3 linked regions of the Yarrowia lipolytica genome follow. The protein of the gene in region 3 purifies or fractionates together with the protein of the main gene of each other region. This does not show direct contact. Links are inferred from orthologs where the notes say so. Each region holds a gene or a part of one and is shown on either strand. Other genes may lie near its edges.

Region 1 (6,128 bases), on a different chromosome or scaffold from region 3:
CTTCGAGGTCTCATTCAGAACGCTCAATGGGACCGGGAGCTTCTTAAGAGCAAGCTGGGTGACGGCAACGACGACTGGGTTGAGCTTCTGGAGAAGTGTTTGACCGTGGATCCTGAGGAGCGTGCCTCTATTCGTCAGGTTCTGACCTCCTCTGTTTTTGAATCTCTGGCTGAAGCCCTTGTTAGTGACACTCAATAGAGAGTGACCACACTCAAAACCAAAAACAACAACCATCGCTACTAACAGTCTTTTGCATGTGTCAACCTTTTACATAGACACCTTATGAATAATGAATATATTGCATGAAACAATAATAATACACCCACTACCAGTACAGTCCAGTGCTCGTACTGTATATACTGTAGGTATATTACATACAATACACCGTAAATTTTAGATGTTCTTGTCGTTTGTTACAGATGGCATAGCATATGGTTTCTTTCAAGTGTCAGAAGCATACATCTTCGCTCCAGTCACTCTGTCATTGACAGATATCATAAATACTAAATATAAACTACTCAGACACTTCCTTTCTCAAGTCCCGGACATCTTCTCTCACCTTTTTGGCCTCGTCAATCACCTCATCAACTTCACCTTCGAGCACTTTTTTCTCAGCGTCCTTTTCCAGCTCATCGACCTGGATGCTCGTCTTATTTTTGTCCTCCTCCAAATCCTTGTTTCCCTTTTTCAGCTCGTCCAGCTCCTTGAGAGCCTTCTCAGCCTTTGCTTCGGTCTCATCAGCCTCTTTTTGAATCTCCTCCTTCAACACGGCCTTCTCGGCCTCATCTTCTATGTCCTTCACCGTCTGGTCGGTCTTGTTGACTCGACTGGTGCCTGTTTCGGCCTCATTGTGTCGCTCCCACAGCTGTTCAATATTGAATCTGGCAAGTCCCTCGTACTCCTCAACGTTGCCAACAACAGACATTCCAATGGAGGCCTTGAAGCAGTCGACGAGAATGAGCTTGTCGTAGTTCTTGAGGTCGACAGAATGGCCGTGGTCCTGGCCCACTCGAGAAGCGACTGACTGGATAACCTCGTCTCGGTTCATGCCGTCGAAATTTCGCATCGTCGGTCGAATGGCGTACTTGAGCGGTTTCTGACCCTCCTTCAGGTGAAAGTGGGGACCCAGAACAATATCACACAGCTTCTCCAGCTCGGGCTTGCTAGCACTGCAAGTCAGAGTGACGGGAGTCATACGCTGAACAAACCGAGTGGACTTCTTTCCAGTGTCCTTGACTCCTTGGCAGATGGCCTTGACAAAGTCCACGGGCACCACGGGCTTTCTGGTTCGCACAAATAACATGCATTCACATCCCAGAGGCAATGGAGTGATGAGATCCTTCTTGGTATCCTTCATGGCAGCCACCTCGGCAGCCATGGCCTTATCAATGTCGTCCACGTCTTCAATGTCGTCGCCTTCCTCGTCGTTTTCCACCACAGTCGTTCCATACAGCTTGTCGCACCACTCGTTCATCATCAGTCGCACCTCGTTCTTGGCCATGTTTTCCTTGCCTCGGGTGTAACTTACGTACACTCCCTGGTAGCGGGGTTCCACATTCTTGATGGCTCCGGGCAAGTACCGCGCCTTTTTGTTGCGCTTGTTGGCGTCTCCTGATCCGCTTCGTTTGCCCATGATGTGTTTGTATAGTGGTGAGATGCTGGTCCAAAAAAAAACTGAAAAAAGTTTAGATCGCAGATGATCTTGCTGGAACTACTGTACAACTAGTGCCGGAGCTATGAGAGCTGATGTTGAACGGTAAGCAATAGGGCGAATGTTGAGAGAATATGCAAGGCGTATGTTCAAGCCAATCTGATTTTGTTGGCGGAGTAACATCGACAAAGCAAGACTATGGGAATGAGTGTTCTCTCTAGCTGCCCAAGTATACGTTTTTTTGGCTGCTACTGTTGCAGAAGTGAAACATCGGGCGGTAGAGGCAGGATTCAGGCGAAGACTATATATAATCTCTCATACAACACTGAAGCAACAATTTGTTGATCCAGCTGCCTATACTTGTACACTACCACTGGCACCCAAGTATCAATGAGTTGTATATGAGAAGTATTCTGGGTACTGTACAAGTTGTCGTATGTATATTCTCTACTAATGTTACAGTATGTACAGTACCTACTTACTGCAACTTTCCTTGACCGATACTACTGGTATTGCACCAGTACAATACGATATCTAGGGCACACAATGGACACCCTGTCTACAACATCTCTCATACAATCGTAAGTAGTTTTAAACTCTTTGCTTATGGTCGCATACGACGACCGATTTTAATAGTTCACGAATAGATTACTCGCAAACCTCCTCCTTATCTTCGACAACAACCTCCTTGATCTCCTCGATGGTGGTGTACTCGGACTCGGCAGGCTCGGGCTCGACAAGACCCAGCTCCTCGAGCTTCTTGTCAGTCTGGGCTCTCCAGGCGGTCCACTCCTCGAGCAGTCGCTTCCGCAGCATGATAAGCTCTCGAGAAGCCTCGGAAGCCTCCATGGCGTCGATCTCCTCAAACTTTCGAGAGTACTCCTCCAGGTTGTTTCGGATATCCTTCTTCTGCTGCTTGGAGAGCAGAGTAGGGGGTCGGGGTCTCCAGGAAAAGTGCTTGAATCGGTCAATGGACTCCTCTCGCTGCAGCTGGCCTCGGAAGTCCCAGATCTTGTATCCGTTTTCGGTGTGGTGTCTCCAGTAGGAAGACCAGGTGGCGACAAACCGTCCAGAGGGATCCCACTCGAGAGCAGAGATACCGTAGTGCTCGGACGAGCCGAGGAAGTGCAGGTTGGCAGGAAGATCCTTGTCACCGTGCTTTCGGTCACCCTCGTAGTCCATGTCCCAGAAGTCGAGATCGATAGAGTTAGAGCCCTCAATCATGACAGTGATGAGGAATCGACCGTTAGGGGACCAGAACAGAGAGTTACAGTTCTTCTTGTCAAATGCCTTGATCAGCTTCCATGTGCCCTGGGTTCCCTTGTGTCGCTCAAGAGCGTAGAAGGACAGAGTGTGTCGGTTGGCGGGCAGAGGACCGTCGTAGTTGGTGGTGGAGTCCGAGTTGGAAATGGTGACGAATCGGTCTCCGTGGGGCTCCCAGGCCATGTTGGTGACGGTGTCCTTGAGCTCCATAACCTCGACGGGCACTCCTCGCTCGCACAGTCGGAAGAACTCGAGGTTGGTAAAGGTAGACTTCTTGGACTTTGTGTGTCGGTCGACCTTGACGCACAGGAAGCGTCCCTGGTCCTGCCAGTGGATCTTACAATCGGCCACGTTGAACAGGTTTCGGGTTCGCAGCACCTCCTTGTTGGAAGCCTTCATGAGGACCACTCGAGCGGTCTGGTTGCCAATTTCAGGAGTCCAGTAGCAGAGAACAGACTCAGTGGCGGACTTTTGTCGTCCCTCCAGGTTAACAAGAGCAGGAGCCCACTCAAAGTCGACGATACCGGGAGCCTTGACGGACTTCTTATCCAGCAGAGACATGGTCTCGGTCTCGTAGATAGACAGCTGCTCTCCGGGGATCATACGGGCAGCGTACTTGTCGTCAGGAGAGAACTTGAGAATGGGCCAGGACATAGAGGCGCCCTTCTTCTCCGGGGGCATAGCAAAGGTTCGGACGGGAAGTCGAGTCTCGAGGTTCCATACAATGATCTGTTTGCCCTCGTCAGCGGGGCCAAAAGGAATGCTCTTTCGCTTCTCCTCGTCATCAGGGAGAACGAGAGGAACGTTAGACCAGGTGACAAGGAACTTCTCGCAGGGAGAAAACTGCACCATCTTGACGTTGGGATGCTGGAATTTGCAGATAGGAGGAGCCCAGTCGGGGCCACCCCACAGCTGAACACCTTGAGTATGAGTAGACACAAGGTAAGTACCGGTGGGAGACCAGTAGACCTGGGTCTCGGTCCATCGCTCTCGGTCAACGTCAGCCTCCAGAGTATCACCCTTTTTGTTCCAGAAGACTCCGACTGTGTCTCCTCGATGGAGCACAAACTGGTCTCGGCCCTGGGGGTCCATGAGCCAGCTTCGCAGATGTCCCTGTTCCACAAAAGGCTCGGTCTCGGGCTCGACAAACTCCTCGGTTTTCAGAGTGTCGTACTGCATGCCGTACTTCTCCACCTCGGACAGCTTGTTGACAAGCAGCTTATGGTTCTTGTCAAACTGCTTGTTGTGGAAAGACTTGACGGCAGCAGCAGCCATCTCGCCCGTCTCGTACTCAATGAAGACAAATCCGGTGGACTTACCGGTGGCCTCGTCGAAGGGAATAAAGATGCCGTCTTCCTTGATCTTGCCAACAGCGCCAAAGAACTTCTTCATGACGTTGGCCAGGGCTGCCTGCTTGGCCTGGGGAATCACAGGAGCTCCATCGACAACGATGAAAGACTCAAAGCCCTCGTCCGCGTTGACAGCGTACTTCTCCTCCAGATCGGAAAAGTCAATATCGAGGTTATCCTCCACAGTCATTTTTCGTGGTGGTGGTGGTGGTATGAAGGGCCTATAATTTTACCCTTTGATTCAAATCGCACACGCAGCTTTTTTTCACCAAGAGAGGGTAACACAAACCTTAATGTTAATGGACCCAGCATCAGGATCAGGACCGAGCTCATGTGCATACTGTACAGTAGTTTGTTTTCTGGTGGCTATTAGCAATACCGTGGGTTGGTCACGTGATATGGATATCATGGACGCGAAATATTGACACGTGTGTGATATGAGGGGGGTGCAGTTTTCTGATTTGAGATCGGTGCATTATTAGACAGGTTGAATCGTTCTCTGAGAATGAGTCGGGGTTGAGTCGGGGTTGCTTGGTGCCATCTGTGAGAGTGAGTGGAATAACAAGAACCGGTAATTGTGAGCACGTCTACAAGTAGGTCGAGCGTGTAACGTATGGAAGAGTTGCGGTTTTCAGAAGTGGTCATAATTAACGACAATATCAGATATCAGTGTTTGTATATATTGTACTGAAGTCTGTACTGAAGTCTTGTTTGGTTTACTTGGATCAAGGATCTTAGTTAACATTATTAAAGAATGTTTGTTGAAGAATGTTTGAGCAAGCTTGGTCTATCACAAGTACATACCGTCTTCGTACCGTAAGTACTTCAATCGTATAAAACAGTATTTCAATAGTTTCTTACTGCTTTATTTTTGGTACTTGCAGTCTCCAAGCATCTCTCAAATAGACAGTCCACTCATGGACCAAGTGACGAACAGTCTCGTAACATCTGATTTTCTTGAATGCAAATCAACGTGGTGGTGCAAGTACAAGTACAAGATACAAGTACAAGATACAAGTACAAGTAGTCATAAGCCCCCTCCTTCAGGAAAAGTCCCCAGTAGCGCTTTTTAACCCCTCCACCCATGTATAATCTGCCATCTGAAACACCGATTCCTCTAAGAGAACATATGCCAAATGACCTTTGTTGACCTTCTGTCGACATCATTAAACAGGTTAAATGGGCTCTCCATAGCCGTCCTAACCTTTAAGAGCCAAGGAGCAGTCTCGTTCGGGAATAAGACTCTATACTGGTGGCAATTGTACTTGTACTTGTACAGCAGATTTATTTCTACCCCCTGACAAGTCACGTGACCGCACTCACAGGTATATCGAGCCAAAGCCCCCAAGCTACAATGGACATACAAGTACAAGCAAGTAACCTACAGTCGAGAATGTCATGATTCTTCAAGTCACGTGAAATGAATATGCACGAGAGTATAAAGTTAAAGGACTCCAACATAGGGAGGACTTTCTCGGTTACTGTACGTCCCCACGTGTAGTTCGTCTCCTTCCCAAACTCATAACCTGTGTTGTCCTCCCCCAGAAGTTAAAACTCCAGCACAACCCGTGATTTAAAGTTTTCGCTTAACCGCACCTTTGACCAATCCAGATAAGACCTAGGGCCTGCCAAAAGATACACCATTGCTATACACCGCATCACGTGGGAATTATTTATCATACACGTGACCAATCTCTCCAAAAAGGAGATTTCCAGGCCGCGTTTGACACGACATTAAACCCTTCGGGTTAGGGTTTCCGTGCAGTGCAGCATCTGTCGAATGCTGAAACGTGCAACGTCTTCGGTCTCCGATAATTGGATAATTCGCCTATAAGTCCCTTGCTAGAACGAAATGAGCGAACGAG
Region 2 (7,636 bases), on a different chromosome or scaffold from region 3:
CACTATTGCGCATTTATACGTGGTTATACGTCTTCTTTCTTCGAGTTACATGCCCTGTGTGTAACTGTAAGGAGTGGTACCCCGTCTCGTACAAAACCTGCAACTGTCAATTGTAACCGCACAAGTGCGTGTGTGGGCGTGCTATTGAGTCAGACTTTGACTCATGTGGGCCACCAATAAAAGCCTGAGGATAGAGCCCTCAAAAGTCCCAATGACCTTGTGGGGGTGCTCCGCTTAGCGTGGGGGTCAACCTAAAGGAGGAAGTACCCAAGGAGCTAACCCCAGACTAATAGTACAGTACGCATCCAACAACACACTCAATTGCAACACACAATGCTCCGTATCCGACCACAGTTTGCGCGACAGTCGCTCGCCCGATTGTACTCGACCCAAAGACAGAAGATCCTGTTCCTTGACAACGTGGTGGACGCCAAAGACGAGTTTGAAAAGCTCAAGAAGAAGGCCGACGTGGTGACTCTCAAGGATGGAACTGACCGAGAATCGTTTCTCAAGGACCTCAAAAACACCTACAAGGACATCAATGCCATCTTCCGAACCTTCATCAGTGTCAAAAAGACCGGCCGGTTCGACGAGGAGCTGGCCAAGGCTCTTCCTGAGTCCTGCAAAGCTGTCTGCCATTACGGAGCAGGCTATGACCAGATCGATGTGCCCTTCTTCTCCGAAAGAGGCATTCAGGTCAGCAACGTGCAGTCCATGGCCGACGAGTCGACTGCTCTCACGAACCTGTATCTAATGATCGGCACCCTGCGAAACTTCGGAGACGGAGCTCTCAACTTGCAAAAGGGCCAATGGCTCAAGGGAGTGGCCCTGGGCAACGACATCTCCGGCAAGACTCTCGGAATTCTCGGTATGGGCGGAATCGGCCGAGAAATCAGAGACTACGTGGCTCCTCTGGGTTTCAGCAAGGTGCTGTACTACAACCGAAATCGCCTGGCCCCCGAGCTGGAAAAGGACTCTGTCTACTGCCAGTCGCCTGAAGATCTATTTTCCAAGGCCGATGTCATTTCCATCAACGTGCCTCTTAATGCTGCTACCAAGCACCTCGTCAACGCAGAGTCCATCTCCAAAATGAAGGACGGAGTCATCATTGTCAACACCGCTCGAGGCCCTGTTTGCGACGAGAAGGCCCTAGTGGACGGTCTAAACTCTGGAAAGATTGGAGGAGTCGGTCTCGATGTATTCGAGCGAGAGCCTGCCATTGAAGAAGGTCTTTTGAAACACCCTAGAACCCTGCTTCTGCCTCATATGGGAACCTGGTCCCACGAGACCCATTTCAAGATGGAGAAGGCGGTTCTGGACAACCTCGAGAGCTTTGTTGATACTGGAAAGGTTATCTCCATTGTTCCTGAGCAGAAGGGCAAGTTTTAAAATGGTAACAACTAACATAGATAGGGGGAGGGGGAGCTACAGTTTCCAGTAGCTAAGTAAGTACAAGTAGAGCTAAACGCATAAACATGCATTGTGTAGAAAGTACAATTGTAAGACACAGTAGTTTACCCATATGCACCTGCACGAGACGATAATGCGCGGGGAAAACAGGTCACGTGAGATGAGGTTTTGAATGCGGATTGTGGCTCACAAGCATGATAAACAGTTAGTTAGGTAAAACTATATGAGAATATAGACCTAAATTTATCTCTAAACATTGTTAATAACATGGCTTCTCCAGATTAACATTGCTGACGTAATTTAAAAATAGGATTACATATTACGACAACCCGGAAGCTAAATTAAATACGAGCATATACGAGATGAGATGATTTTTTCTTGAGTAACTGACTACAAGTACCGGACCGGTACTTGTGCTGTAAAAAAATAGTTTTATGTATACACGACCAGCATATTTGGAACATGGGGCTCTCTCAGACAAGCGAACATCATAATCAAACTCAGGTGACCCGGCACAGCGGCGACAGCTGGTTTGCTGATGGATGACCAACAAGTTACTGGCGACAAAGCTTACATTTACTGAATTCGATGATGCTTGTATGAATGGTTCTATCTACCCAAATGTTTCACTTGAAAGGCGCACTAAAGATGGAGCTCCTATATCAGAAGGGTTACAGAATTGAGTATTATAAGGGCTCCGGCGGCCATAGTCGAACCACTGTGGGCCTGGAGAACACTTCAAATATCCCAACACACACTACGATACGCACAACAGACGACCTGTGTGCGCACCACAACATACAATCTCAAATGATATAAATACTAAATACTAAATACTACCGAATCGTACCCGCAGTACATTTTTTGCATCCCTGAAACAAACACAAGCTTACTTCTTGAGAGCAGCAAGCATCATCTCCTTGGCCTTCTCCAGACCCTCGGGGGAGCCCCGCACGGTCACGGCAGAGTCAGCAACACCAGCCTTGGGGATGTAGATCTTGCAGCCAGACTTCTCTCGGATGTGAGACACGGTGGCTCCATGAGGACCCACCAGGAATCGGTATCGAGAGGTGTCAGGGAGCCACAGGTATCCGGTCTGAGTGTGCTTGAGAGCAACATCCAGAGCAGCCTCAATGATGGCCTTAGCCTTGGCAACGTTCTCGTCAGAGCCCTCAAGCCTCCAGGGGATGGTGCCGTTGGCAGCGTGGTCGACAGCGTCCTCGACAACAGACCATCGGAACGAGTCCTTGTCCTCAGAATCGGAGCCAATGGCACCAGCGGGGACAACGGGGTTGCCGTCTCGAGGAGTTCGGACAGAGCCGTGGTCAACGTTAACCTTGAGTTCGTACTTGAGCTTTCGGGGCAGGTTTCCGTTGTCGGACACAGTGGTGTGCAAGGTTCGGGGGACCAGAATTTCCTCCTTCCACTTGTCCTGGGACAGCTCCTGGATCTTGGCCTTGGCGGTAGCGACATCCTCAGCCTTACCGGTGATGGAGACGCCGGTGTCGAGCTCTCCATCCTTGTTCTTGGCGCCCTGCTTGGGGATCTGCAGAGTAACCTTGAACTTCTCCTCGAGGGATCGCTTGGCAGCACCTCCAGCTCCAATGAGATCTCGGTGCTTGGAAACGGGCACATCAACAACCTCAGAGATCTGGGACTCCCGCTCGGCAACCATGTCCTGGATGATTTTGACAATCTTGGCCACAATCTTCTTGGAGCCCTGGACTCGCACCTTGTTATCCTTGGTGCCGGCAGCAGGAACAGCAACGGTTCGAGCAGCAACGGAGGGGGTCACGTCGGTCATACCGGCCTTGGTGAGGATGTCTTTGAGAGTCTGACCGCCGGGACCGATCAGAGCACCGTGGAACTTGGGGTTCACCTCAATGTGCTCAATGACAGTGTCCTGGAACTCAGAAACGATAGCCTGGATCTTGGCAGCAGCCTCCTTGACGCCGGCCTTTGTACCAACAATTTCAATGTCAACGTTGCCGGTCTCGTCGGTGTTATCCGACTTCTCCTGCTTGACGTCGATTCGAGTGTTGGTGGAGTCCTTGATGTCGTTGATGAACTCTCCGCCTCGACCAATGATTCGGGGCAGAGACTTGACGGGGACGGAAATGGTCTGCGAGTGCGAGTTCTCAATCTCGTAGTTTACGAGATCCAAAATCTCCTCCTTGGCCTTCGCCACACCCTTGGAGGGACCTCGAAGGACGATCTCGTTGGCGTTCTCCTCACCGGTCTTGGGGAACCGAATTCGAACGTCATACTTCTCCTCCAGTCGCTTGACAAACTTGCCACCAGTTCCAATCAGAGAGGCGTGGTGGTCAGCAGGCACAGGAAGCTTGACGTTGACCTCGTCGGCAATCTTCTTGGCGAAAGCCAGAATCTGAACCTTGGCCTCGTCGGCGTTCTTCTTGATACCCTTGACAACACCCTGACCGGACTCGTCGAGATCGATGTTGACGCCGTACTCACGGAACTTGGCGAGCTGGGAGCCGCCCTTGCCAACAACATGCTTGACATGCTCGGGAGGGATCTGGAATTCGGTGGTGTACTGGGACAGAACAGCATAGTTCTTGCCGTCCTCCACTGCCTCCTCGATCTCCTTGAGCACTCGGGTGACCTCATCCTTGAGACCCCGCACGTAGATGGAGTCCGCAGAAACGGGCTCCTCAGCGTCCTTGATCTCGTCACCAAAGGTGACTCGGACAAAGGGCTCGTGGCCCTCGGTTCCGCCAACAATGGCTCGAAGGGTAGTGTTATCGGGACCTCGGACAAACTTGTGTTCGCCAACGGGGACGGAAATTAGCTTGCCAATGATCTTGGCCTGCTTCTCTCGAATATCGGCAAAGGAAGAGTCGACAGCAGCAAAGGTGGCCTTGATCTCGTCGGCGGAGGGGCCGAAATCATCCTCCTCAGAGGTGCCCTCGTAGATGAGAATCACGTCACCGTTAACCTTGGGGTTCTCGGGCACCAGGACAGTGACTCCGTGGTCCTTCTTGTACTTGGCCAGGTTTCGGTCCTTGGGGCCAGCGAGGTTTCGCAGGAAAAAAGGATCAATGTCAGACACTCGAGAGACCTTGGAGGGCTCGTACTTGTTTACCAGAGCCACAATGGCCTTTCGGGCAGCCTTGACAGCCTCCTCGTTGGGACCAGAGGTCTCGATAGTGACGGCCTGGGCGCCAGGAGCGTAGAGCTGATCGGGCTGCTGGATGTAGATTTCGACCTTGTACTCGTCAGCAATCTTCTGGAGCATACCAGAGGCCTTGAAGTAAGAAGCCAAAGCCTGGGCATGGGGCACGCTCTTGCCATGTGCTCGAGAAATGTCCAAAAGATCAATCTTGACGGAGTTAACCTGCTCAGACACCTTGTTCATGGCGGGCTTGATGTCCTTGGGCAGACCCAGGAACTTGACGGTGTCATCGGAGGTGTTGGGGGCCTGGGGCACAGTGATAAACACGGAGGTGGCGGCAAAGACATCCTTGGCAGAAATGTACTTGTGCTTGGAAGCAGGGAAGGACTCGGTGGAGGTGATAAGGTCGGTGGACAGAGACTCTGCAAGACGCTCAAGTCGTTCCTTGACGGTAGCGGTGGCCTCTCGGTCGCCAGACAGAGTGATGGTGGCGGCCGTGGTGAAGTTGGGAGCAAAGATATCAGGGATGCTGAGCTTGACGTCGTCCTCGCCCTTGGTGAGGTCTCCGGCGGTCTTGTCAAGGAAGGGGAACAGCACATAGTTGACGTTTCGAACTCGGATGGTCATGTTCTTGACTCGCTCGGACACAATGGCAAAGATCTCTTGCTTGGCAATAGCAATACCCTCAGAGTCACCCTCGACGATGACCTCGACCGTCTCCTCGTCGTCGTCGGCGTTGTTGCCGTTGGACTCGAGCTTCTCAATCTGGATATGGGCACCGGACTTCTCAAGAATGGGCTTCAGGTTGGAACCTCGAGGGCCAATCACAGCAGCTCGCACGCTAGCGGGGATCTCAAACTTGGCGACAATCTTCTGGGACAGGGCTCGGTGCAGCTCACGTCGGGCCTTGGCCACGTTCTCGGGGGTACCCTTGATGACAAAGGAGGTGTGGCCCGTAATCTTGGAGGTGGACGAGTCGATGGTAGTGGAGGTGTTGGCCTTGACCTTAGCAATGATCTTGGGCAGCTCGGATCGCACACCAACCTGCTGCTCCTCTCGCTTGAGAGTGAAGACATCGGAGATAGTGGTGGAAGCGGCTCGACCAAAGGACTGAGGGGAGGGGGCAGCGGGAGCAGAGCCTCCCTTACCCCAAACAGCCTTGGGGGCAGCGGCACCACCATTAAGAGCGGGGAAAGCCTCGAGAGAGTTGATATCGAGACCCTTTCGCTTGGAGGCGGCGGAGGGACCGGCGACAGACTTCACGGGGGCGGCAGGGGCAATCTCGGGAACGGGAGAAGACTCCTTGGACAGAGAGCCCTCAGAAACGGTGAGGGTGGGCTCGGCGGCAGCGCTCACGGCAGCATGTCGTTGCCGGAGAAGCTCAGCGGGGGACAGGTCGGACATCTGTGTTAGTGGGGTGGTGGTGGGGGTCGTCATGTCTTGACAGCATCTTGTGTGGCACAAGCACACACATCAGATAACTGTTGGTGTAACATGTATAAATGAGATCCGGCAGATGTCAGTTGATTCAATGAATTATCCAGGGCATGCTCCAGTGTACAAGGACTGTGTCCACTTGTGCATCTCCTTTTTGGTCTCCATGGAAACAGATCAAATGAGACACTGTTTAGCCATAACGCAACCTCTGCGGCATCAACACTCGGATCCTCGGTCTCAATTCATACTCACTTCAACAAAAACAAACAAACAAACAGGGAGGGGACCAGACAAACAAAACTCTTCAAGTTCTGTATTCCAAACGGGGTTTTGGGGGTAGAGAGAGTTTTTGATGGGGATGAAAAATAGACGCCAACCTTGTCTTGTGGAGGTGACACGTTGTGCATAGCGACACGACTGGTTGGGGGCTACCCTAATACAGCATGATGCAATGCACAGAGCCCCAAACACCTGTCAAAAGTGCTTGAATGTTGCTCAGAAGTAGAGCAACGACATACGGACCAGAAGAAACAGTGGTGAATGACAGAGCAGAACTTCCATTGTAGTTGCAACAACTATATACGACGATATTCTGACGATACTTTCTGTTCCCTCGTGTTGCATGATGCCCGAGAAACTCTGAGCTTATATATATTTCAACATTTCACGACGATGATGGTGATAATCATGGTTGAGAAGGAATGAGTCCGATTTGGCGCGGCAAAAATTTGGCGTCGCAAAGATGACTGTAACGCACTAACATCGTCATCTGCAGAAGCAAAAAGCTTTGTAATGTCATTTTCCAAAAAAGGGCCGAGCAGGGATTTGAACCCTGGACCTCTCACACCCAAAGCGAGAATCATAGCTACTAGACCACACGGCCGGTTATAAAATTTTTGCGTTGAATCAATAGGATCTGAAATATCACCGAAATCACGTGACCAGATTTTTGGACGAGTTTTTCAGAGTGGATAATGCTTCGATATGTGTCGGAGTTTTTCTAAGGGGGAAAAACTTGACTCGAAATTTTACCTAAAGTAATAATATATGCGATAAACGTTTTTGTTTATCTCGTTATGTTAGATTATGTATTTTCAGATCTCCGTGATTATATAAGCGAAACCCGTTGTTTGTCACAAAAAAGTGGACATGGTTATGTAACGTGAGATGAGAAAATGACGCTAATACATCTTAAAATTCATCGTGGTATGATCATTTCAGCAAACTCTTCATGATAATCATTTGTCTCAACTTACTCCAATTATATTTACTTACGTATCAGAACCTCGTCTCACCTTCTGTTGAGCCCGCAAACCTCAGTTTTTTTTGGCTACTATTTTGATTTGCACGCTGTGAAACATGAAACACCTTCGGTCGTGTTTTTAGAAACGGATCATCGCTCAGCGCACGGCATATTTCTTCCTTTTCTGCTCAGATCGATCATCATGAGATTAGCTCAAAGGATGAAAGTAGAGTCAGATTCAGGTCAGGACCGTATAGGACCTCTTTATTTGTGCTGCTACTTGTACAAGTAGTGAGAGTGTGGGAATCCGAAAAGTGACGTAATAGTCTGCTGATAATAAATCCTGAAACGTGGACAAGAACTTATCTGGAGTGGTGTGGGATTGGACATGGATATATTTTTTCACATCGTAT
Region 3 (7,426 bases):
CCAAATCTATACAGAACCAGGTCTCGTACGTTTTCGACCCGCTCCTTGAGCTTGTCGTCCAGCGGCTTGAGACCGGCATCGGGAAGATCCTCGGCCGTGTCAAGAAACTCGGTGCCCTCTTCGTACTGCACGTAGCCCTGCTTGGCGAGTTTTCGGATAAACACCTCGGAAATGGCAGAAGTGAGAACCGAGGGAACATCAGGATGTCGTTTCATGATCTTGGATACGTTCATATCGGCATCGGGATGGTCCATCTTGTTGAGAGCCAGAACGGTGGGGAACTTTTCCCTGGTGAAAGCCCGAACAACTTCACTGATCTTATCATCATCCCACTCCTCCATGGGTGGCAGAGTCAGCTTGTCGATTGCCCGATGGACAATATCCTTGTTGGATCCGTAACCGGAAAACTGATTCTGCAGTGTGTCCACAATATGGCTCTTGGTAGAGGTGTGCCTTCGAACAATAGATCCCCATTTCTCCTTGAGGTTACCTTCGATCCACCGGAAGATTTCATCCTGAAGCCATTCAATGTCATTGACAGGGTCGTAGCCTCGCGTGTTCTTGCCCTCGGCATCGGTTGTTCCTGACACGTCCACCACGTGGATCAGAGCGTCAGCATGTCGCAAATCGTCCAGAAACTTGTTTCCCAGTCCTCGGCCCTGGTGCGCTCCCGGTACCAAACCAGCCACATCTAGCAGCATGATAGGCACGAAACGGCGTCCATCTTTACATGTGCCGTAGTTGGGCTTGCACTTCTCCTGGACCTTGAACCGCGCACAGGCACAATCTATTTGCAGGTAGCCCGTGGCCTTGTTGGGGTCGATGGTTGTGAAGGGAAACGAGCCTGTTTTGGCGGTTGCATCTGTTAGCGAGTTGAGAGTGGTCGACTTGCCGCTACTGGGCTTGCCGACGATTCCAATTAGCGGGTCTCTGGCCATGTTCGGGTCGTTTTGCGCCTGGTGATATGTGAGAGAGAGATGTTGCAACTCAGATGTTAGGGTAAGAACCTAGATGGAGACAAGACAACAGTGAGTCAGCATAGCAAAGAGAGGGCATGGAAGGTATAAACAGGCTGGAGGGGCATCGGAGTCGATTTGAAAATCCCTGTTTTTTTAAAGGGCATTTTTTCAGTTGCGTTTCTGACATTTGTTACATTTTTTTTCCCCACCACCCGAAACTTTTGCTTCAATTTTTCACCTTGATACTGATCTGAAGATAAGTCTACCGGGGGTGGAAATTCGTTGAAAAATAGATGGATTCGCTCCAAAAAACACACGGAAAGGGTCATTTGTACAAGTACTTGTACTCAATACTGTTTGGAATATAGTCATCGTTGCAAATTCGTGGATATATGCATCGTCGCATTCACCGTAACCTCTCAAGTAAAAAGTCAACTATTTCCAGACAACAAGCAGACTTATTTCACAGCAAACGGAAACATAATTGTATGACAAAACATGTATATTATTGAATATTAGTTATTAAATGCTGTATTTGGTATAGAATAACGTGCCTATAAAAACTCCACCGTTTTCGGAACAGCAGATTTGGACCCCCTGCGGACTTCTCATCCCAACAAATTTCAATTAAACTAGTTAAAAAGCTAGGCTACTTGATAACGGATGATGATTCCACGAAAAAAAACAATAAAAATAATACATTGTTGTAACAGGAACGGGCAGAGGCTCTGTACATTGTATAGATAGATTATTCGATTACAGTACATACGCCGACAACCCTCGGACAAGGTCCTGGTGTGGGTGTCGACTACATCCATATCATACATGTATTTTAGTATTTTTACGCAACGACCTAAGTAACTAAGTAACTTAAGAAGACTGCATGATCTGCCAGACTCGGATGACGTTGTCAGTGTAACCAGCAAAGAGGTTCTGGCCGTCAGCGGACCAGGTGAGGGACAGAGCCTCGGGCTCCTTACCGTCCTCGGAGGTGGTCTGGGTCTTGAGCTCGTCAATCAGCACTCGCTTCTCCAGGTCGAAGACCTTGATGGAGGAGGAGGTGGCGGCGCAGAGCCAGTATCGGTTGGGGGAGAAGCACACGGCATGGACCTCATCACCAGCAGGGAGGGTGTAGAGGGCGGTGGAGGAGGTCAGATCCCACAGGAGGATAGAGCCGTCCTTACCGGCAGAGGCGCAGAGGGATCCATCGGGGGAGATGGTGATGGTAGACACGTATCCGGTGTGGCCGAGGTGGTCAGCCTTGAGAGTGCAGGTATCGAGGTCCCAGACCTGAGTTAGTATGTGCAATTGTATCACTAGCGATGAGCTAGCTGGATGCAAGCAGTACCAGAGCGTGGGATTGTCAAAAGTGACCTGAGGATATGATCAAGATGTCGAAGACAGTCTCAAAAACATCCAGAGACCAAGCCCAACTTGTTCAGCACAGCATATGTTGTGGCACACATTTCAACTCCACAAAGGTCCAAACAAATCAGATAATATGGATTTTTGTCTCATAGCCTTTCGGGCTCTGAAGTAGCAAATATTCATGTTTTTCCGTTAAATCATCATGCTGTTTGGGGGCAGAACGCCCAAAATGGTATCACTTGTGAAGTTGCAAAGCCTTGGTTACACAACATGTGCGCTATGCTTTGCTCTGCTCTGCTTGTTAGTATTTGTCGTCTGATACTCACCTTGACCTTCTTGTCCCAGCCAGCAGAGATGATGGTGTTGGCGTTGGGGGAGGGCTCCTCCTCGTCCTTGGTGGCGGGGTTGAATCGGACGGTGGAAACCCAGTCCTCATGGCCCTTGTCGGTGATGGTGTACTTGCACTCGCCGATGGTGTTCCAGATCTTGATGGTTCGGTCTCGGCCGGCAGAGACAATCTGTCGGTTGTCGGGAGAGAAAGAGACGGAAAGAACGTCACCAGTGTGGCCGACAAATCGGTCCTTGGAGACACCGGTCTTCAGGTCCCAGACTCGGAGAGTCTTATCCCAAGAGCCGGAGATGGCGTAAGCACCGTCATGAGAGATGGCACAGTCCTGGACAATGTGGGAGTGGCCCTTAAGAGACTTTCGGGGAACACCGTAGTTGGTGTCGTCTCGGGTCAGAGACCAGACAATCAGGGACTTGTCTCGGGATCCGGACAGCAGAATGTCGGGGTTGTTGGAAGAAGTAGCGAGGGAGGTAACCCAGCCGTTGTGGCCTATGTTAGTGGAGTTTCGGGGGAGGTTTGCGCCAAGCCTGGCCACGTATGTGAATAACACGAATCAAACAAGTTGACAGTGACTGAAAAAAGAAGTGTTTTCGAAGCAATCATGGCTCTCAACCATTCAAAATGCCTTGTCTTTACAGATCAAAGCCGTTCATTGTCGCCCGTATTTGTCCTCCTTCAGTGCCAGCAGTCGATTCTGTCGTTGATTCATCCAGTCCCCAATCAATCATTCCTTCAGAGTCGAATTGTTCCGTCGTTGTGTTCCCTCCTTCAGTAGCACTCACCCTCAAGGGTTCCTCGGAGAACAAGAAGAACGTTCTGGCTCATGTTGTATTATGCTAACTGGACCGTGAGAAATTTCCTGCGCGCAGTTGGAAATGACAAGATATCAAGGGCGCGGTGAAGAAGCTGCGTGAGTGGGTTGCATAATAAAGTTCGTGACCGCTTTTTCTAAACGGGAAGGTAGTCACGTGAGACAGGTCACCGGGGTTCGATTCCAGCTCCTCACAAGTGGCTTGCTTGCATTCAAAATGCACAATCGGATGGTGGGCGACCACGACTGTCTCGAATGATGAGGAATATTCCAGGCGGCGCTTCTACAATAGCCGGGATGCTGGTTTCAGACTTCGTATTGCCATTAGAACAAGGTAATAGCTTAACTAGGGCTGTGAATTAGACGGCAAGTCCAACTATAAGTCAAGTAGTTTCAAAGTGTAGGACGGAAAGCCCAACCAAACTAGTTAAGTATTCTGGGCAGACCAACGATGAAGCTATCAGGTGTTGGAGATGAGCGTTCAAGCAAGCGTGGTGGATTGAATAATGAGGGTTGAATAATAAGGGAAGATGAAGGAGTTCGGCTGGAAGAACCGATGAGCACCCTCTCAGACAGCCTACAACTAACTAACGCTACCGGTACGAGAGTAGATGCTGCGCTATGGTAGGGGAAATCACTGACCAGAATACCATCAGCGCAGTCCATACCGGTTGAGGAGGCAGACTTTATACTATCTGTATCATAGAGGGAATCTGGTGTGCTACAATGTGCTCCGACATTGACCATGATTCACAATGTCTAGATCATCATGGATCAAGCTCCGAGTACATACTGTCAACTCCGGTTAACTCCGAACATTGATATCTTCAAAAGCAACAACACGATGGGCATGTTCTCGCAGGTCCAGTCCTTATGACATGTTGCGGCGGTAGTTTAGATATACGGGGGATGCTGGGTCACAGTGGACGCACAGGCTGGTCTGAATAACGGCAACAGCTCTGCAATTGTGGATGATACTCCCCTCGAGAAGAAGGAAAAAACCTCAAGTATTGTATGTACGAGTACTTGTACCAGATTTGTGAGTTTTACTGCTTGTAATATAACTGTTGAACGACATATTGAACCGAACCAACAGCACAAATTGTCGTGTACAACTACAAGAAGCAACCACTTTCAACTACTTTTTACTTTTCTCACGATCATCTTCATGGAGAGACGCTACATACTGCACCAAGTCTCTCACTCGAACATGATAAATGGATGTCAAAAGTGTGAGCACATGAAGGGGGAGCAGTCAAATACACTGGGCTACTGGTACTGATACCAGTTCGTCCTGCATACCTCTCAAGAAAAGACTCTTGCCAGAGACTGTATAACAGTATGTTCAATCTCACGAAAGCCCTTACTTTCCCCGGATCAGCACCTCAGCACCAGCCAGTCCATAGTCTCATTCACAACATGCTATCATTTATCATTACAGTATCCATTCTAAACATCCTTCATCTCTTTATCCTTGTCCTCCTCGGCCCCCTCGGCCCCCAACATGCCCTTGATCTGGTTAATTATCTTGTCGTAGTTCTCCAATGACGTCCATTGGGCCTTGGTGTCCGTGTTAATGGGAAGCACCTTGTCGCGGCTAAAATCATTCAGTCGCTTGATTTCCTTTCGCAGTGTTGTCGACACCTCCTCCAGCGACTGTAGGAACTCAATGGAGTTGACCTTGAATGCAGATTTAAGAGAGGGCAGACCCTGTTGAATGCCCGGTTCCCAGCCCTTGTCGCCCTCCTTGAGCTCAAAGCTGTTGATATCCAGCTCCGACCGTGGAATCAGCAGATCAATCGCGTTCGACAGCGTCTCTGTCATCTTGGCAATCTTCATATCCGTCTTGTGTAGCGATTCCAGCCGCTCAGACACCTCGTCTTGACCCATAGGAAGGGTCGCCAGATCCGTCGCGTGGCTATCGTCTAGAGTGAGCGCTCCACCCGTCGGCGTTTCCGTCGCAATCTCCATCGACTCGTCCCCCACCGCAATCGGTTCTTCCTTCTTGCCTTCGTCCGCCATGGTGTATGAGTGGTGATGAATGCAAGGTCAGAGTCTAAGCTAGCGATAGTGCAGACATGATGAAGAAAAGCACAAGCAGTACCATAATAGAGATGAGTGATGCCGATGGAAAGACATTTATTATGCTGCAACGACTTCCAAATCACAACTAATTAGATTAAAATCATCAAAAAAGAGACAGGAAACCACATTGTGGCGGTTCTCAAAACAAAAAATTAATTGCCATCACCCAGAATCGAACTGAGGTTTCCACGGCCACAACGTGGTGTACTAACCACTATACTATGATGGCAGGCAATATAACTTCAGAGGCAGTCTGGACAATGATATCCAAATTCCATTGATTTTTTGGCCGATTTTTAAACCACCATTTATCTATCAGAAGAGCAAAATATGACACGATACCGATTGGAAGTGTGATAAGAGAGTCCCAATTTCGCTTCGATAGGCTTTACGATGGGATAAACACCACAGTATCGTTGCTGTAAGGTGTTCAGCGCGGACCCTTTTCTCGCACAGTGCCCCGTGCCATGTTTGCACAGCTTTGGACGGATTGAACGTAGGCGTCGGTATAAACCTGTCCACAGTGATCATCGAAAGAACAAAGAGGGCTCATAGATTGAGAAGTAGTAGTTATAACTCCTTGATATACGTTCATAGCTGTAGTACAGTGCATAGCTGTAGTACATACAGTGGTCTCATACCTTCCCTCCACCCATATGCGATCACCATCAGCTAGAGAAGATATTCTGAGACTAGAACAAGTTGCCAGGTTTATTAATCAGATGAAAAATCGTTTACACCAGGAGTCTCACTGGTTCTATAGCTGTCGCTAGAAGTAGTCGCAAGCATACACGAAACCTCTACAAGTACATACAGTACAAGAAGTACTACCACACTCGATATCTGTTGAAGGGAGCCGACTCCATATATTCATAAATAAAAAGCCGATTGGCCAGGTCATGTGTCTGTTGAAGGATGGGTATGTGTAGTCCAGTGGTCTACTTCTGAGGGGTGTTTCGGTAGAAATGGGTAGGGCACTGGTATCCACCGGGCTCCTTGAAGAGGTACTCCTGATGGTAGTCCTCGGCGTCCCACCAGTTCTGGATGGGCTCAATGTCGGTGGCAATGGGGTCCTTGAACCACGTGTCTTGCAGCTTCTGCTTGACGCCCTCGGCAATCTTCTGCTGCTCGGACGAGTGTGTGAAGATGGCAGATCGGTACTGCGACCCGATATCGGGGCCCTGGCCGTTGGCCTGTGTGGGGTCGTGGATCTTGAAGAAAAAGTCCACCAGCTGCTCGTAGGACACCTTGGCGGGCTCGAACGACACCTGCAGGGCCTCAGCGTGGCCTGTGGTGCCCGAGCACACCTTTCGGTACGAAGGATCTTCCGTGTTTCCTCCCGAGTAGCCTACTTTGGCGTCCACAAGCCCCTTGTCGGCAAAGTGCTTTCTGTACATGTGTTCGACTCCCCAAAAGCAGCCCGCGGCCACGGTGAGAAGCTCCGAGGAGGCGGTGGTCTTGAGAGTGGGCGAGACGGCGGGCATTGCTGCGGTGGCGGAGGACAAATGACGGAGGAGAAGGCTTGATCTAAGCATGGCAAGCTGGGAAAAATAGATCCGCGTCTAAAGGTAGGTTTGCCACTGTGCATAGCGTGCATGTTGGGATGCCATAGCCGGTGCAAGTTTCCGTTGCTACTTGTAAATTACTCAGAGCCCAAATGTATGGATATGGGTCCAACAACGCAACGGCGCCAAACGGCCCTGCACATGTGGCTGGTGGGGGGCCCCTTGTATCATGTCACGTGATGTCCGGATGGGATGAAGCGCAGTATTGTACGTACTTGTACTCAGCGCAGACACTTGAGCTCAAGCCACTATTACACCTACTTGTAGCATACTACCACCCGTGGCTTGG

What was found. The genes of interacting proteins can lie anywhere in the genome.
Region 1: the proteins of YALI1_E23912g (region 3) and YALI1_F21583g purify together in Saccharomyces cerevisiae (affinity purification with mass spectrometry; 3 studies listed by BioGRID, with this or other methods). This does not show direct contact. The link is inferred for Yarrowia lipolytica from reciprocal best matches to the Saccharomyces cerevisiae genes ASC1 and PRT1.
Region 2: the proteins of YALI1_E23912g (region 3) and YALI1_B28292g purify together in Saccharomyces cerevisiae (affinity purification with mass spectrometry; 3 studies listed by BioGRID). This does not show direct contact. The link is inferred for Yarrowia lipolytica from reciprocal best matches to the Saccharomyces cerevisiae genes ASC1 and SCP160.

The regions. Positions count from the first base shown.
Region 1 is NC_090775.1:2,156,715-2,162,842, reverse strand, and holds YALI1_F21583g (uncharacterized protein), read right to left. Parts: upstream 4,454-6,128; coding exon 2,300-4,453; downstream 1-2,299. Other genes in the region: YALI1_F21647g (uncharacterized protein), read left to right, coding at 1-198; YALI1_F21612g (uncharacterized protein), read right to left, coding at 515-1,633; YALI1_F21567g (uncharacterized protein), read left to right, coding at 6,116-6,128. UniProt on the Saccharomyces cerevisiae protein: RNA-binding component of the eukaryotic translation initiation factor 3 (eIF-3) complex, which is involved in protein synthesis of a specialized repertoire of mRNAs and, together with other initiation factors, stimulates binding of mRNA and methionyl-tRNAi to the 40S ribosome.
Region 2 is NC_090771.1:2,827,571-2,835,206, reverse strand, and holds YALI1_B28292g (uncharacterized protein), read right to left. Parts: upstream 5,981-7,636; coding exon 2,300-5,980; downstream 1-2,299. Other genes in the region: YALI1_B28349g (uncharacterized protein), read left to right, coding at 334-1,389. UniProt on the Saccharomyces cerevisiae protein: Involved in the control of mitotic chromosome transmission. Required during cell division for faithful partitioning of the ER-nuclear envelope membranes which, in S.cerevisiae, enclose the duplicated chromosomes.
Region 3 is NC_090774.1:2,388,983-2,396,408, forward strand, and holds YALI1_E23912g (40S ribosomal protein RACK1), read right to left. Parts: upstream 3,502-7,426; coding exon 3,459-3,501; intron 3,166-3,458; coding exon 2,654-3,165; intron 2,250-2,653; coding exon 1,830-2,249; downstream 1-1,829. Other genes in the region: YALI1_E23899g (uncharacterized protein), read right to left, coding at 1-938; YALI1_E23945g (uncharacterized protein), read right to left, coding at 4,937-5,509; YALI1_E23961g (uncharacterized protein), read right to left, coding at 6,511-7,107. UniProt on the Saccharomyces cerevisiae protein: Component of the ribosome, a large ribonucleoprotein complex responsible for the synthesis of proteins in the cell.